2 linked regions of the Arabidopsis thaliana genome follow. The protein of the gene in region 2 interacts with the protein of the main gene of each other region in a pairwise test. Each region holds a gene or a part of one and is shown on either strand. Other genes may lie near its edges.

What was found. Proteins that work in one complex are often made in the same cells at the same time.
Region 1: the proteins of BMY2 (region 2) and HD2C interact in a two-hybrid assay, tested with the Arabidopsis thaliana proteins (one large-scale study listed by BioGRID).

The regions. Positions count from the first base shown.
Region 1 is NC_003076.8:979,719-985,808, reverse strand, and holds HD2C (histone deacetylase 2C), read right to left. Parts: upstream 3,951-6,090; 5' UTR 3,816-3,950; coding exon 3,803-3,815; intron 3,471-3,802; coding exon 3,400-3,470; intron 3,323-3,399; coding exon 3,111-3,322; intron 2,998-3,110; coding exon 2,948-2,997; intron 2,835-2,947; coding exon 2,695-2,834; intron 2,482-2,694; coding exon 2,389-2,481; intron 2,253-2,388; coding exon 2,159-2,252; intron 2,060-2,158; coding exon 1,848-2,059; 3' UTR 1,520-1,847; downstream 1-1,519. Other genes in the region: AT5G03750 (E3 ubiquitin-protein ligase), read right to left, coding at 312-485, 565-790, 904-1,013. UniProt on the Arabidopsis thaliana protein: Probably mediates the deacetylation of lysine residues on the N-terminal part of the core histones (H2A, H2B, H3 and H4).
Region 2 is NC_003076.8:18,350,834-18,358,239, reverse strand, and holds BMY2 (beta-amylase 2), read right to left. Parts: upstream 4,716-7,406; 5' UTR 4,647-4,715; coding exon 4,128-4,646; intron 3,955-4,127; coding exon 3,727-3,954; intron 3,643-3,726; coding exon 3,562-3,642; intron 3,419-3,561; coding exon 3,215-3,418; intron 3,092-3,214; coding exon 2,897-3,091; intron 2,776-2,896; coding exon 2,611-2,775; intron 2,522-2,610; coding exon 2,261-2,521; intron 2,180-2,260; coding exon 1,967-2,179; intron 1,879-1,966; coding exon 1,659-1,878; intron 1,570-1,658; coding exon 1,544-1,569; 3' UTR 1,352-1,543; downstream 1-1,351. Other genes in the region: AT5G45290 (RING/U-box superfamily protein), read left to right, coding at 6,148-6,348, 6,423-7,331.

The sequences.
Region 1 (6,090 bases), about 17 Mb from region 2:
GAATAGAGAGAATTGATGATACCATTGTTACAGAAATGGTGTGTGTAGTGTGGAAGATAAAGGATACTTATAGTAAAGAAGAAATATACTTTGAAGGTTTTTTTCAGATTCCTTGAAGGCAAATGATTTTTGACTTATCGCTAGACAAAAGAACTTAACTGAACAAATAGATTCAAAGCTTTAAACAATTTATGGATATTGTAGCTATATAGATTTTATAACTAATAGTAGCAATCAAAGATAGAGAAGTTGGTCACTTTACATATATGTTTGCTCTTCAACAAACTGTTTTTTAATCTCTACAACAACGATCATGGAGATTCGCTTCTAAGAAACTGGAATCTATCATTGGTTAAGAGACCGAGCAGACCCGAGCCATTGAGGTTAGCGTATTTCACATCTTGAAGCGGAAGTTGACTTGACAATGCGAACCGTTGTGAGACAGCAAAAGACCAAGGATCTTGCAAGATGAGTTCACGGGTGGACTCATCATACGATGCAAAAAGTTGTGTCATTTCCTCGCCAAAGTCTAATCGCCGTTCTTGGCAAACTGATGGCATCTACTATAGCTTGTGTGGATGACTGTTTCTGAGAATAAGAACCATCACCTCTTCTCTTGAGACAAACATGAAATCCATCTACAATATGAACCGAATTGCTTGTTACGTCAGCCAACGAAACCAAAGGTCCTCTGTTTTGACGCATGTCAAATACTAAAACCATTCCATTCTGTAGTCCAGCATAAACATTGTGATAGTTGTTGAGATCCCAAGAACAAGACAAGGTGCAGCTGGTAGACGAACAACGCCACCGTTGGTCCAAACTTCCATACAGATCGAACATAATGATTCTTTATCCTCCTGCAATCCTGAAGACGATGATGAACAAACACTTTCTGATGACCTTCTTTGATACTCACTCTCGTTCTGTGAAACCCTAGGTGAGTCTACCACATCGATGTATTGGCTAATTTGGCGTTCTTCTTCCTCATCAGGTTCATCGAATACTTCCATTGTTATTCCGACATTACCACAGACGAAACGCCGTAGTCGCTGCATTAAGGCAAAACCCAAAACTTAGCTTCTTACAAAACAGAGCAATCTGTATATAAAGAGCAAAGCAGCTTAAAAAGTAAGCTCGATTAAAAGAAAACTAATACTTGCGTTTCCTTTTTTTCTTCAACATGAAAACCGCAAAAAAGGAAACTCTACATGAAAACCAATTAGTATTATGATTCTTGGTGTGATTTGGTTAATTCACAATCAGAGAAATACGAAGCGGAAGTTGGAAACCTTTGGAAGACAGCAAAAGTGGAAGGAACACAACAAGTTTATTAATTTTAACAAAATAGAGGGGAAATGCAGGCTGTGGGGTTCGAACCCACGCGCACTTATGTGCAGAAGAACTTAAGTCTTCCCCCTTAACCACTCGGGCAAACCTGCTTGTTATTATTTTTCTCTTCCTATTATATTTATATACGCAAACTGGTGTAGTAGCTGCATATTAACCACAAGCCCTAAAAATCCTTAATTTCGGGTCCATTAGATTATGTTACAAAGTGACATGCTAACTAATCTTCAATCAATGTATGTTTTGGACAGAGAATTTCAAATGTAGATTTTCACTAGAAAAGTCTACAAAAAGACTTAATATCCATACCACTAAACACAAACAAAGGTTTAGCACAGTTTCAGCTACCAAAACGATAAAGTTAAACAGGAAGAAATGCCTGAAAAAAAAGACCAACTAAAACTGGCTCACTCGCAAGTTCCAGATTTAAGTACCAAAAGACATCAAAGTTCTAGAGTAGATATTATAGAGAGTAGTCATCATGCTGCTTCTTCTTCTCAAGCAGCTGCACTGTGTTTGGCCTTTGTGTGAGACTGCAATCCCATTTCCGAAGTAAAGGTTCTGGTGCACGACTTGCACCCAAACGCTCCTGCAGACTTCGGTGTCTGCTGCTGCTTCGATGTCTCTCCAGTGCTGCCTCCACCAGAATTCTTACCCGCCTGTTTTGAGGGATGAGGAGTTGCAACATGGACATGCGGTTTCTTCGAATCTGCTTTGTCCGAATGTTTTTTAATTAAACAAATCAATCTTCCTTTCTATCGTTAAAATAAGTATTCAATGGGGAGATTGGTAAAAAGGATTTAATCACCTGTTTTCTGAGGAGTTACAAACTTAGCCTTCTTGTTGGACGCAGGGTTCTTGGAGGAGTTGGGTTCTGCAGACCTCTTCTTGGGTTCTTCAGGCTTTTATAAACCAAGAAAACTTAGAATCAGATTCGAGCTTGACCACAGAAGCAGAGAAATTGCTCCCAAAGGAAGATAAGATAGAACAAATATAGGTTTCCCATCAACAAGCACATAAAAGAGACTGTCATGTTACCTTCTTTGGGGTTTCCTCTTCTGAGGAGTCATCTTCTTCGTCGTCTGATGAGTCATCTTCCTCACTGTCAGATTCAGCAGTAACCTTCTCTTCCTGAAACAAAGCAGCCATGATAAGGATTAAAGAAATGTGAGAATGGGCTAAAACACAATAGGTAATCAAGGGTTCATGTGAAAATGCAAATATAGAAGTTACAAACATACTTAAGATAACTCTAGTACCACTGTCTATAGGTTTAATCAACATGTCACTGAGCCTAAGTAAAATTCTATAACAAATTGAGCTAGTATATATAGATAAAAGTACCTCCTCGTCTCCAGAGTTTTCACTATCATCATCATCTGAAGAATCTTCTTCACTACCGTCAGCGTCATCATCTTGCTTGGCTTTGACATCTTCATTTGGCAACTGAAAGTTCACCTGTTTCGCAGCAGATTTCGGAGCAGCTGGCTCAACCAAGGCCAAATAAATTTATAAGAGATTGATGTTCTTAAATAAACTAAAATAAGACAACTGGAGACAAATCATTGCAGGACTGGATATAAAAGTCCCCATTTACCTTTGAAACCAGCAGCCTCAAGTTGATCATCAATCAAATCCTCAGGCTCGGTGAGATAGAGTCAAGGAAGTCAAAAACAGAGTAAAGCAACAAGTCCCCAAAACATTTTCATCAACAAAGCTTAAAGCGATAACAACAAAAATGTTCAAATAGTAAAGGATATGGATCAGATGCATCAACTTTGTAACCAGAGAAGAAAACGCTCCCATTCTTCCAAGTATGAGACAGCGCAAAGTTCCTTTCCAAGACAATCTCCGTAGACAGCTGAGGAAACTTCTCATGAGATAGCGTTCCAATGAGAAGCTTATCCGATCCAACAGTCACGTAAAGCTGGATTGGTTCGGTTACATTGTTCTTACTCTCTCCCAAAGCAACCTTCAACAAAAATAAACCAAACGTCACTGTAAAATACATTCTTATAAATCAAATTAAGCTTGCAAATTCAAAAGTACCTGAGAGATGTGCACGAGCCTGTCTAGCCCAGGATCTAGGTGAAGTGGTTTGCCATTCTTAACTTCAACACCTGCAAACGCATAGAAAGCATACAAATCAGTAATTCTGCAACAAAATCCCCAAATGAAACCTCTATCGGAGTTAAAACCTAGCGAGAGAGAAAACTTTTCAGTTTTCCCCAATTTTCTACGAAGACGAACAGTCCATACCCTAGATTGTCACATATACTCACTATTCCCGTTTCTCGTTTAGCTAAACAGAAGATTCCATAGAAAAAACAGTAGAAAAACATGGCAAAACGAAAAAAAGCGATGAAACCAGAAGCTAAAAAAAAACTAAATGCAGGAAATGAAGCGCAGAGAACGAAGAAGAAGAAGGAGTAAGATAGGAGATGTTTTTTACCCCAGAACTCCATTGTTGTGCGAGGTAGTGTGATCTTGAAGGCGACGATGCGTCGAAGGAGAAGGAGAAGGTTCTAGAAGAAGCTGAGAGCGATTCGTCTCTCGAGAGCGGTTTTAGGGCGTGTTGATGTGAGAAGGCTAAAATGTCCGCTGGAATTTATTAATCGGAGGAAGGGATTTTAGGGATCCTCTGTTACGCGGTCCACTCGAATATCTCCTTTAGTTGGGCCATGATTTTAAAATTAGCCCAACAAAACTAACGTTTCAAGCCCATACTTTATTTTGACGGCTTTTTTTAACGGTGTCAGGACGGATCGTAACGGACTTTTAACACTTTATTTGACTGACGGAGTTTTCGTCAACATGTGGGGTCTATATATTCATGTCTTCATGACAATATCTATCTCCATTCCTCAAAATAAGTCCCACGGATAAATTGAGCATAATGTATCGCAAAGTTTTAATTTTTTTCTAATCCAAAGAAAAACCAGTTAACAAAATCTGTGAAGAGTTTATATGATAAAACTAAGTACGGTCCCCGACTACGAATAATTAAAATTATTAAATGGATAGTTGCACGAGTGAGAATTAAGGAACACTATTATTATATTAAACACAATTCATTTTAGTTAGATCTATTCGGGGCCTCTCGTGTTTAGATTTAGAAGAGTTCTCGGCATGAATCATGAACATTTTCCAATGCTCTTAAATTTATAGTTTACCAATATTATACTCCGGTTTTACATATCACACATAATTTCGATTTTTTTCAACATATGTGATCATAATCAATTGTTAAGTTTTAATTTATGCGCATAAAAAAATATATGTTTGTATAGTAGTTAAGGAGAATTTTTTTTTGTTATGTTTTAGCACTTTTTGGATTAATACTAGTTTTAAAAGTATGATTTTTTTTTTATTTTTTTTTGTGCACAAATATGATCAAACCCAAAAGTTTCTTTACATAGTAGCAACTTTATATTCTCAGCAGCCATGGCTAAAAAACGTAAGTTAATGACAAAAATGCGTTGAGTGCAATGAACCTGGCAGTATTCGATGAACCTTAGCGGATCAAATGATATAAATATGCAATAGAATTTAAATATTTATTTATTGTCCAAGCTGCGTGGATAGCTTGATAGATAAATTAATGACAGCACATTGACTACCCAAGCTGCGTTGATAAGTACTTGATCAAAATCTTTACATTTTTATGAAGTACTATAATCCAAAGTTAACTTTTAAGCAAAAGATAATTTTTTGTAATGGTTGTGAAAAATTCACTTATAATAACACGAAACATAATGAAGTATTATTAGTTCATTTATATATAATACACAAAAAACATAAAGGCAATAAAAATAACCAAATTAAAAAAAAATGGAGAAGTAGAAAAGAAAACGAAAAAAAAAAAAAAAGAGAGAGATAAGATGCATGCATGGTATAGAAGTCGCAGGCCGAAGACCAGAAATACGAATGTGTTTGAATAGACAAATTAAGGAATATAAAGACAGAAGAGCCCATCCATTTTCGCATACACGAATACATCCCCCTCGACTCCAATTATTTTATTATAGTCCATTCTCTCACTTTCTATTCTAAATATTGTGGACGTTATAAAGGCTTTTTATTTATTTTATGTCGAGTTTTTTAGACTACGTAGAGCCGAATGAAAATTTCATGTTTAGGTATACGAAACTTGGATCCAATGTTACGGATTCAGATTGGTGTAAAAGATCAAATTTGATAGTATTTGGATTTGATAGGCAAGATGGTTTAGTATTTTACACTGTGTATGTTCCTCTTTTAGCTTTGCGTTTTCTACTTTCACTACGATACTACTTTTTATCTTCCAATTTCAGTTGCTTATCACCAAAATATGAAATACCAAATTAATTGTTTAAACAGTTTTATTAGCGATTAAATTAGCACAAAACATATGAATAGATATCATAGTCGAATACAAAAATTAGACAAATAATAATACACTAAAAAACAAACTAAATTGGAGAATTGTTTTGACAAAAAATAAAAAAAATGTCAAAGTTCCATAAAAAGGAGGACAAAAGAGGAATATAACGAAATTATCAACAGAAACGCACCGAGTAAGTTTATTTCCTATGATAACGCAAAAACAAAAAAAAAATCCAATTCCATTAGAGAGAGAGAGAGAGAGAGAGAGAGAGAGAGACTTTTTTAAAAAGTACAAAAAAAAAATGAAAAACTAGAGAGAGAAACAAGTGGCTAGCTAGCTCGCCAAACTTCTTCAACAATGGCGGTTTCCTAGGG
Region 2 (7,406 bases):
TCAACATTTTCATTTTTTTTTGTTTGTTAAAGTTTGATTTTATTAGTTTTAAGATTTATAAAATATAATCTAAAATATTCATACTCTTGGAATTATCAGATTCATGTTTTTATAGCTAAAATTTTGTGATATTCAATTAAAGCAAAAAAAATGTATCATTGTTGATAAACTATTGCTAGAGAGTTTTCTATAATCATGTAAATTAATTTTTCACAATCTTGTAAAGTTTTTCAAACAATATCTCTATTTTGATTATACTTTTTTTGTCAAACATTCGATTATATTTTTTATGATTTTATTTTGTTAGTAAAAATATAGAAAATCATAAACCAATAACAGAATAATTTAATTCATTAACAATCAAATATTTTTTTTGTTTTAGTTGAATAACACAAAATTTTCAATGACTTTAAAATATAATTCCAATAAATCCAAATTTATTAAGAGTTTTAAAGATTTTTTAATAAATCAAAAACTAATAACATCAAACTAAAACAGAGAAGCTAACCGTATGTATATAGGGAGGCTAACAGCCTTGCAGACGGGTTAGCGAACTATGCTTTTAATCTATCTTTAGGTATTCATTAGTTTGATTTAGCTCCCTCATTGGTGGAGGAGATTGTAAGGGAGGATGTCCGAGGAACTGCGTTTCCGAGGCTCACCCGCCTACCGTTTTGTAATTTCTTTTCAGTTTCAATAAATTGCGGGAGACGGTTGTTTCCCCTCTACTACTAAAAAAAAAACTTTAACAGAATTTAATAGAATCTTGATTAAATAATAACAGATTTTTCATATCATTTAAAGTAATTAAAACACAGTTTAAATCACACACCACCTAAGACTTTTTTTCCATCTTTTTCATTAATCATATTGGACATTTTGCCTCATTATCCCACATTTAGATATGTATAATAGAGGCTTTGTTCGTTGTGGTTAACTAACCCTATTTCTTATGCTTCTTTAGATACAAAATCAAATTTTCGTACGGACCAACATTATATTGTCCATGAATTAACACTGAATGCAAAAGGACATGTTGGTCTTTTTTTCCCCTCTTTATTTGTTCTTCAAAGATTTGGTTGGATCTAAAATGTCAAATACAATCATGAAAAATCAGGATTTTATCAGAATATTATTTGAATGATACAAAAGAAAAATGTAACTTTGAACAAAAATTATTAATACCATTAATGTAATCGGATTCGGGCATATATAGTCAAAAAGGTTATTCTAAGAATAATTTAGACAAAAAGGTATAAGAGTTAGGCAACACTTTTCGGTTGTATTCATTAGACATCAATACCTTCTTGTATTTTTCAAAATAAAACTAAACAAGTGTCTACTTTACGCGAGTCGGATTAGAATGCATTTAAGAATTTAATTAGTTAGTTCATCTTCAACTAGTGAAGTGTTAAGGTGTTTAAAGATTACAAGATCAATCGTCTTAAATATAGGCCTTGAGGAGAGAATAAACAAAACAAAACAGATTTTGAAGTTTTAAACAAAAGACACTTACTAAAAGAATCCTAAGACCATGCAAATCCTAAAACTGTTTATCTCTTATGTCGCCTGCAAAGAAACAAATATAGTTGTAAGAACAAAGATTTTGACAACGAATCTAAAGGGAAGGCACAATCAAGCGTGCGGGTAAATCTTACCATGCATGCGTTTAATGAAGTAGTCCAAATCTGGAAAGCAAGTAGATCCTTGAACCAGAGGAGAAGGTTGACGATATGTGAAGAAGGAGAAGTGATAGCCATCTGGATGGTTTCTTGGTTTAGCTATATCGATTAATCTCATACAACCATCTCTGTCGAAACAAGTAATCGCATTCTCTCCACCGATTTGAAGTCCCTTATCCCAAGCTGCGTTGATCACCTGCCACAAATAACCAAAACTTTAGGGTTAAGATTACATTTGCTGAGAAGTAAAAAAAGCTATAGTCATCAATAAAAAGTGTCATTACCTGCCAACTTAAACCTTCTGGATCAGCTAATGCTTCTTCATGCGCATTGGGAGACATTTGTGGCCCAGGGCACACAAACTTCACAGTCACGGAATATTTCTTCAGAGTTTCGAAAACAAGAGAGTACCCATCACGGTTTGAAGGGTTGTAGTATCCTGCAGTTAATTCAGCAGCATGACTAGCTGTCTTGTATGACCAGTATATTGCCGGTATCTGCATTGTTGTTTTTGGTGTATGAGTCTCATTGTTATAGGCATCACTGGGTTTGAAGGATAAGTGCCAAAAGGATTATACCTTGACAATAATCTTCGTCTCCTCAAATGCGAGATTTGCAAGAGACAGAACATTCTCAGCATGACCAATTAGCAATTGTGAGTACCAATTTAAGAAGAAGCGGCCATAATAGCTGTCATATTCACCTCTTTCTTGGAAGAACACAGTTTCATGTGGATGAGAACTGTATTGACCAGCATTCTCTGGTCCTTTACCCCAGAAAGTGAATCCTCGTGACTTTGCTTCCTTTTGCAGACTCAATTGCGAATATTTGTCATAACACTGCAATAGGAAAAATAGTAAATTGATATGTTAACTTCACTAGTCATAAGTTAGAACGTAGAAGTAAAGTTCAGCAATCTGAAAAATACCTGAAACTCACCGATACCGGGATAAATCCAACCCATCCTTTCTGGGAAAGATGGGTACTTTAGTTCACCAGAAGCTCCAAGACCAATCTCAACCGCAGTAATTAGTCCTTCCACAAACAAGTCATCAAACTCTGACCGGAAGCTTCTCATAAAATCAAAATAGACCTGGATAATCAAGTGTTGAAAAGGAAGAAATAAGAATCTAGACAGTACAAAAGAGGAGGAAATGAGACATAATATACCAAAATACTGAACAATTTCTGAGCAATGAGTGTTCTTTGAGTACCTCTATACCAGTTCGTCCATGCAATACCCGTTCCTTGTCAATGCTCCAATTCAAACACTCGAAACTTCTTCTTCCTTCACGATCAGTGAAAAAAATGTCTGGATTGTCTTTCCCAATCTTCAACACCCACTGTGGCAACGAAATCATCACATTCCCAGATGCATTCCCTCCATACTCATGAAATGCCATCACCACCTTCAAACAAACCATATACTGATTGCTAAGATATTATGAAAAAGACGGTCCTTTATAGGGAAAGTCACAGTTTGGTCACATAGGATGTATTTAACAAAGCTCTACAAGTAAAAATATTCACACCTGTAGCTTAAGTTTGAAGTCTCTGATAAGGTTAAAGAGCTCCCTATAGCCAGACCATACATATTTCTGAGGGTTCCATCCTTCAACTATTCCCCACCAACAATCTATTACTACTCCATCGACATTTAATGACTTCATGTAACTTAATTCTTGTCTTACACCTTCAGGATCAACCAACTGGCCAAAGTTGTCTATAATGCCAACCTGAAAGACAAGGTACAGAACTTTAGCACAGGAAAACTAAGGATCGCGGCAAAACTGGTAAGAAATATATGTACACTCTTTTTTATTGGGCAACATCCATATATATACACTTAAAACACAAAGTTCTCTCATCAGAAGCTCACTGGAAGCATGGCGTACACAGGGACATAAAAGCTCTCTGTGAAGTCATTACATTGCTCTGCGGAATGAACATCTTGTATAAGCTGAAAGAAAAACAAAGTGGTTAGATGAAACAACGTCCAGCTTAAAGTCAATTCTCCTAATAAGGAAATGAATTTATCATTCACCTGATTGGCTTCCAAGCATCCAACGGAGGTGATAGGACTAACACTAGTATACCTTCCATTCCCGGGATGATCACTCTCGGCAATACCAATAGAATCAAGAGACACAGGAGCAAGTTTCTCATCGTTCCTAAGAACTGAATGCTGCTGAGATTCAATTGCAGCCTTAGCACAGTTCTTCAATGTACTAGAAGAAAGTGGACTCTCAATAGATCTCGTCGGAAACTGTACCTAATCCAATAATATTAAACAATCTATGTTACATTAATAACAGAACAAAGCTTATAACTTTAAGAGCTTCACACATATTTGGGATCAAATTTATCATCTTTCCACTAAACCCTAACTTAAATAGCTTAATATGAAAGTTTGAATTTTGAGAGAGAGAGTTTCGAAGTTTGAACCACATGATTTGGTTGCTGTGATTGCCGATAAGTAGTACCATCGGCTTCAACACTCCAACCAGCTTCACGAGCCAAAGCAGCGATTACGTCATTCATATCAGCACGCGCCGGTAACGGAAAATTACCGTACTGTCTTAATCCGGCGAGCATTCTACTAGTGATTGCTCGTCTATGTCTTTCTCTAAGCTTCGTTCTCTCTTTTTCCTTCTCCCTCTCTCTCTTCCCTTTCCCTCCTCCACCTCCTCCGCCGCCGCTGCTTCCTTCTCCACCGCCGATTCCGGCGATGTTTCCGTTGTTTACATCGTTTTCCGTTGGAGCTATCGACGCTGCTGCTGCTGCAGCGGCGAATCCGCGAGGGCGGCGAGATTGTGGTTGGTTGCGGTTCCGGTTGGGAAATTGATCCGGGTCTGGAATTGGGTCGAGATTCGGATCTTGCGAACCGGTGGTGGTGGTGATGGTGTTGTTGAGAGTATGCATTTTTGTGCGGTGAAGTTGCTCGCTTCTGTGCTGTTCCCACATTTGAGATTTTTTTGTAACTTTATGGATTTACAAATCAACGTCGGTAATTATTATAAATTACGTTAAAAGTCTCTCATTATCAAAATCGTCAATATTAACCCCTCCTTTTTTTTTTTTTTTTTTGGTCAAAAACCTCTCTTTTTTTTTTGTTCAACAATAGCCAATGTGACCAGTTTTGACAAAGTGATACTGAATTACTGATGGGTTTGTTAGGAATGACACGATGGGTTTTACGGTTTTGTTTCCAATCCTTTTTTTCATGGTTTTATTAGTTTAGAAAAGAAAAACTGAATAACATAAATACATAATTTGTCTTTTGATTTGATTTTGGTTTAGTAAATCAAACCAAAATCATGTTAAAATTAGTTTACATATTTTGACTCAGGTTTTTATTTTAGGTAGGTTTTAGTAAAATTAACATTATAATTATAAATAAAATGTTAATGAATTTCCGTTTATTTGATTCGATTTTATCATGTTAAAATTAGTTTTTGTTTGGTCTTTAAATCGACTTTACAGGGCCGGTCCAACAAAAATCTTCTGAAGCTAGAATGCCACTATATCTAAATTGTAAAATACTGAAAACAATCACTTCATAAAAAAAAATGATTTGTATATTTTAGTTTATTGTGATTTACTTTTTTCAACTCATTTTTTTTTTCTATTTTTAATATATCTTTTTTCTTTCTTTCTTTGAAGTTAGTGTAGTTCAATTATATTTTAATTTTTGAGAATATAGATTCGATTTTGGTTCGATTTTGGTTCGATTTTGTATTTCTGCTTCGCAATTTATAAAACCAAAAGGCTTTGTCAACAAAATTTCAGTTTTGAGTATAGTTTGAATATTCTAGTTTGGTTTGGTTACAACTATTTTTCATCTAAGTGATCACTGTTCAATGACCATTTCAAAGCTTTTTTCTCAATTATAGTCCTCAATGAAGTCCAATTATGATTGCAAAAAAGATTAAAAAATCGAACGAAAACAAAAGAATGTTATAATAGTTTGAAAAAGAAAAGAAAGAAAAATAAAGAAATGGTGAGTTTGGTTTTTTGTTCCCTCTCGTTCGAACATCAAGACACACTCTTCCCGTAAAAGTCTCTCTCTCTATCGCAGATAGGTGCTTTGTCTCCTTCTTCGATTACTCCGATCACCTAAAAATCTTTCCTTTTCTTCAAAGCATTTCTCTTTGATTCAAAGACAACACACATAGCTTAGTTCCTACATTAATTTCTCGCAATAAAAAAAGTTCAGATTTCGAGGTATTCTTGCAATCTCGATCGAGTTTCAGATCTGGGGATTCAATAATTAGGGCTTTTGATTCTGCATTGTCAATGACGAATTCGGGTTTCAATGTAAAGATCTGAGGAAAAAGTTTCGATCTTTAGATTTTGACTTGGAGGTTTCTTCGATTGGTGGATTTGAAGAAGATGGGGAAAAGACTTGTGGGTCTTGTGTCAATGATGTAATTTTAGCAGAAAGTTGTTTGCTTTTGAGAAGAAGATGGGATCTGGCCGGAGCAAATCATGTCTAGGCTCGTCGGCGATGGCGAGAGAAGCTTCTGACGTGGCTCAACCTCCTCCGTCGTCTTCTAGTGGTGGTGGAAGGAGAAGAAGATCAAAGAGTCTTTTTTGTGGTCTTCACTCTTCTTGTCTTGCTTCATCTTCTACTTCTCATTACAGTGATGATGATAATGATGAACAGGTCTGGTTTTGATATTTAATTTATTTTGGTCAAATCTGAAATTAGGTCAAGTTCATGAGTTTTGATTTCTTCAGGTGTGTAATGGATGGATGAGGAAGAGTCATGGAAGTGTTACACGGCGTAGAATGGAATCGAGAAGAGATGCATCAGATTGCTATGATAAAGAATTGAAAGATGATAAGAAATCTGAAAACGAAAGACATTGTGATGAGCTTGAGCTTGATGATGAGTGTGGTGTTGAAGAAGAAGAAGAGGAAGCTAGTGTAAGCAATGTACAGATGAGAAATGTTAGCGGTTCGATTCAAGAATCTTCTACTCCAGGTCGAGTTTTTTCGCATTTCAAATTCATTCCTGGTAACATAAGCTCTAGACTTAGCAGAGCTTCAAGTTCAAGATCCTTCAACACGACTTATCCAGTCTCTTCTTCTCATAGAGAAGATGGTGTTACTTCACCTTCAGAATCTGCTATTAGGCTCAATGATAGAGTTGAGTCTCCGAGAATTCCTGTGATTGACAATGTAGTTAGAGATATTGATGCCATGAGATTTGGGGAAGATGGTAGCTTACGTTCTCCGAGAGTAGTTAATGGTATGGATAGTACTTATGCTGGACTTCTTGATAGAAGACATGTTGTACGAGAACCTTCTATTGAGCGCAATGTTAGATTTAGTAGAACTCTGAGTGTTGGAAGACTCCGTGATAGAGTTCTTCGCCGATCTTCACTCTCTGATTTCGCATTCCGTCCCTCGCCACATCAGGGAGAAGAAGATACTGATCTCTTCTCTGCTGAAACCGCAGCAGCAGAGGATGCTCCTGTGACTTCAACGTCTATACTAAATCGTTCCGCTTCTAGCATTCGAAGGACCTTATTCGGCATTCAGGATCATGAGACACCAGCTGCTCTTGTGAGAGAAGGGAGGTATCAAGGTTTATTAGAACACAGATCAGATTTCCTTGAAAGAAGGAGGAGAATAAGATCTCAGGTTTGAAACTCATTGATTCTCTCTTCCTTGATGTGTCTGATCAACTCAAGATCTAACTAACTGATATAACTAATT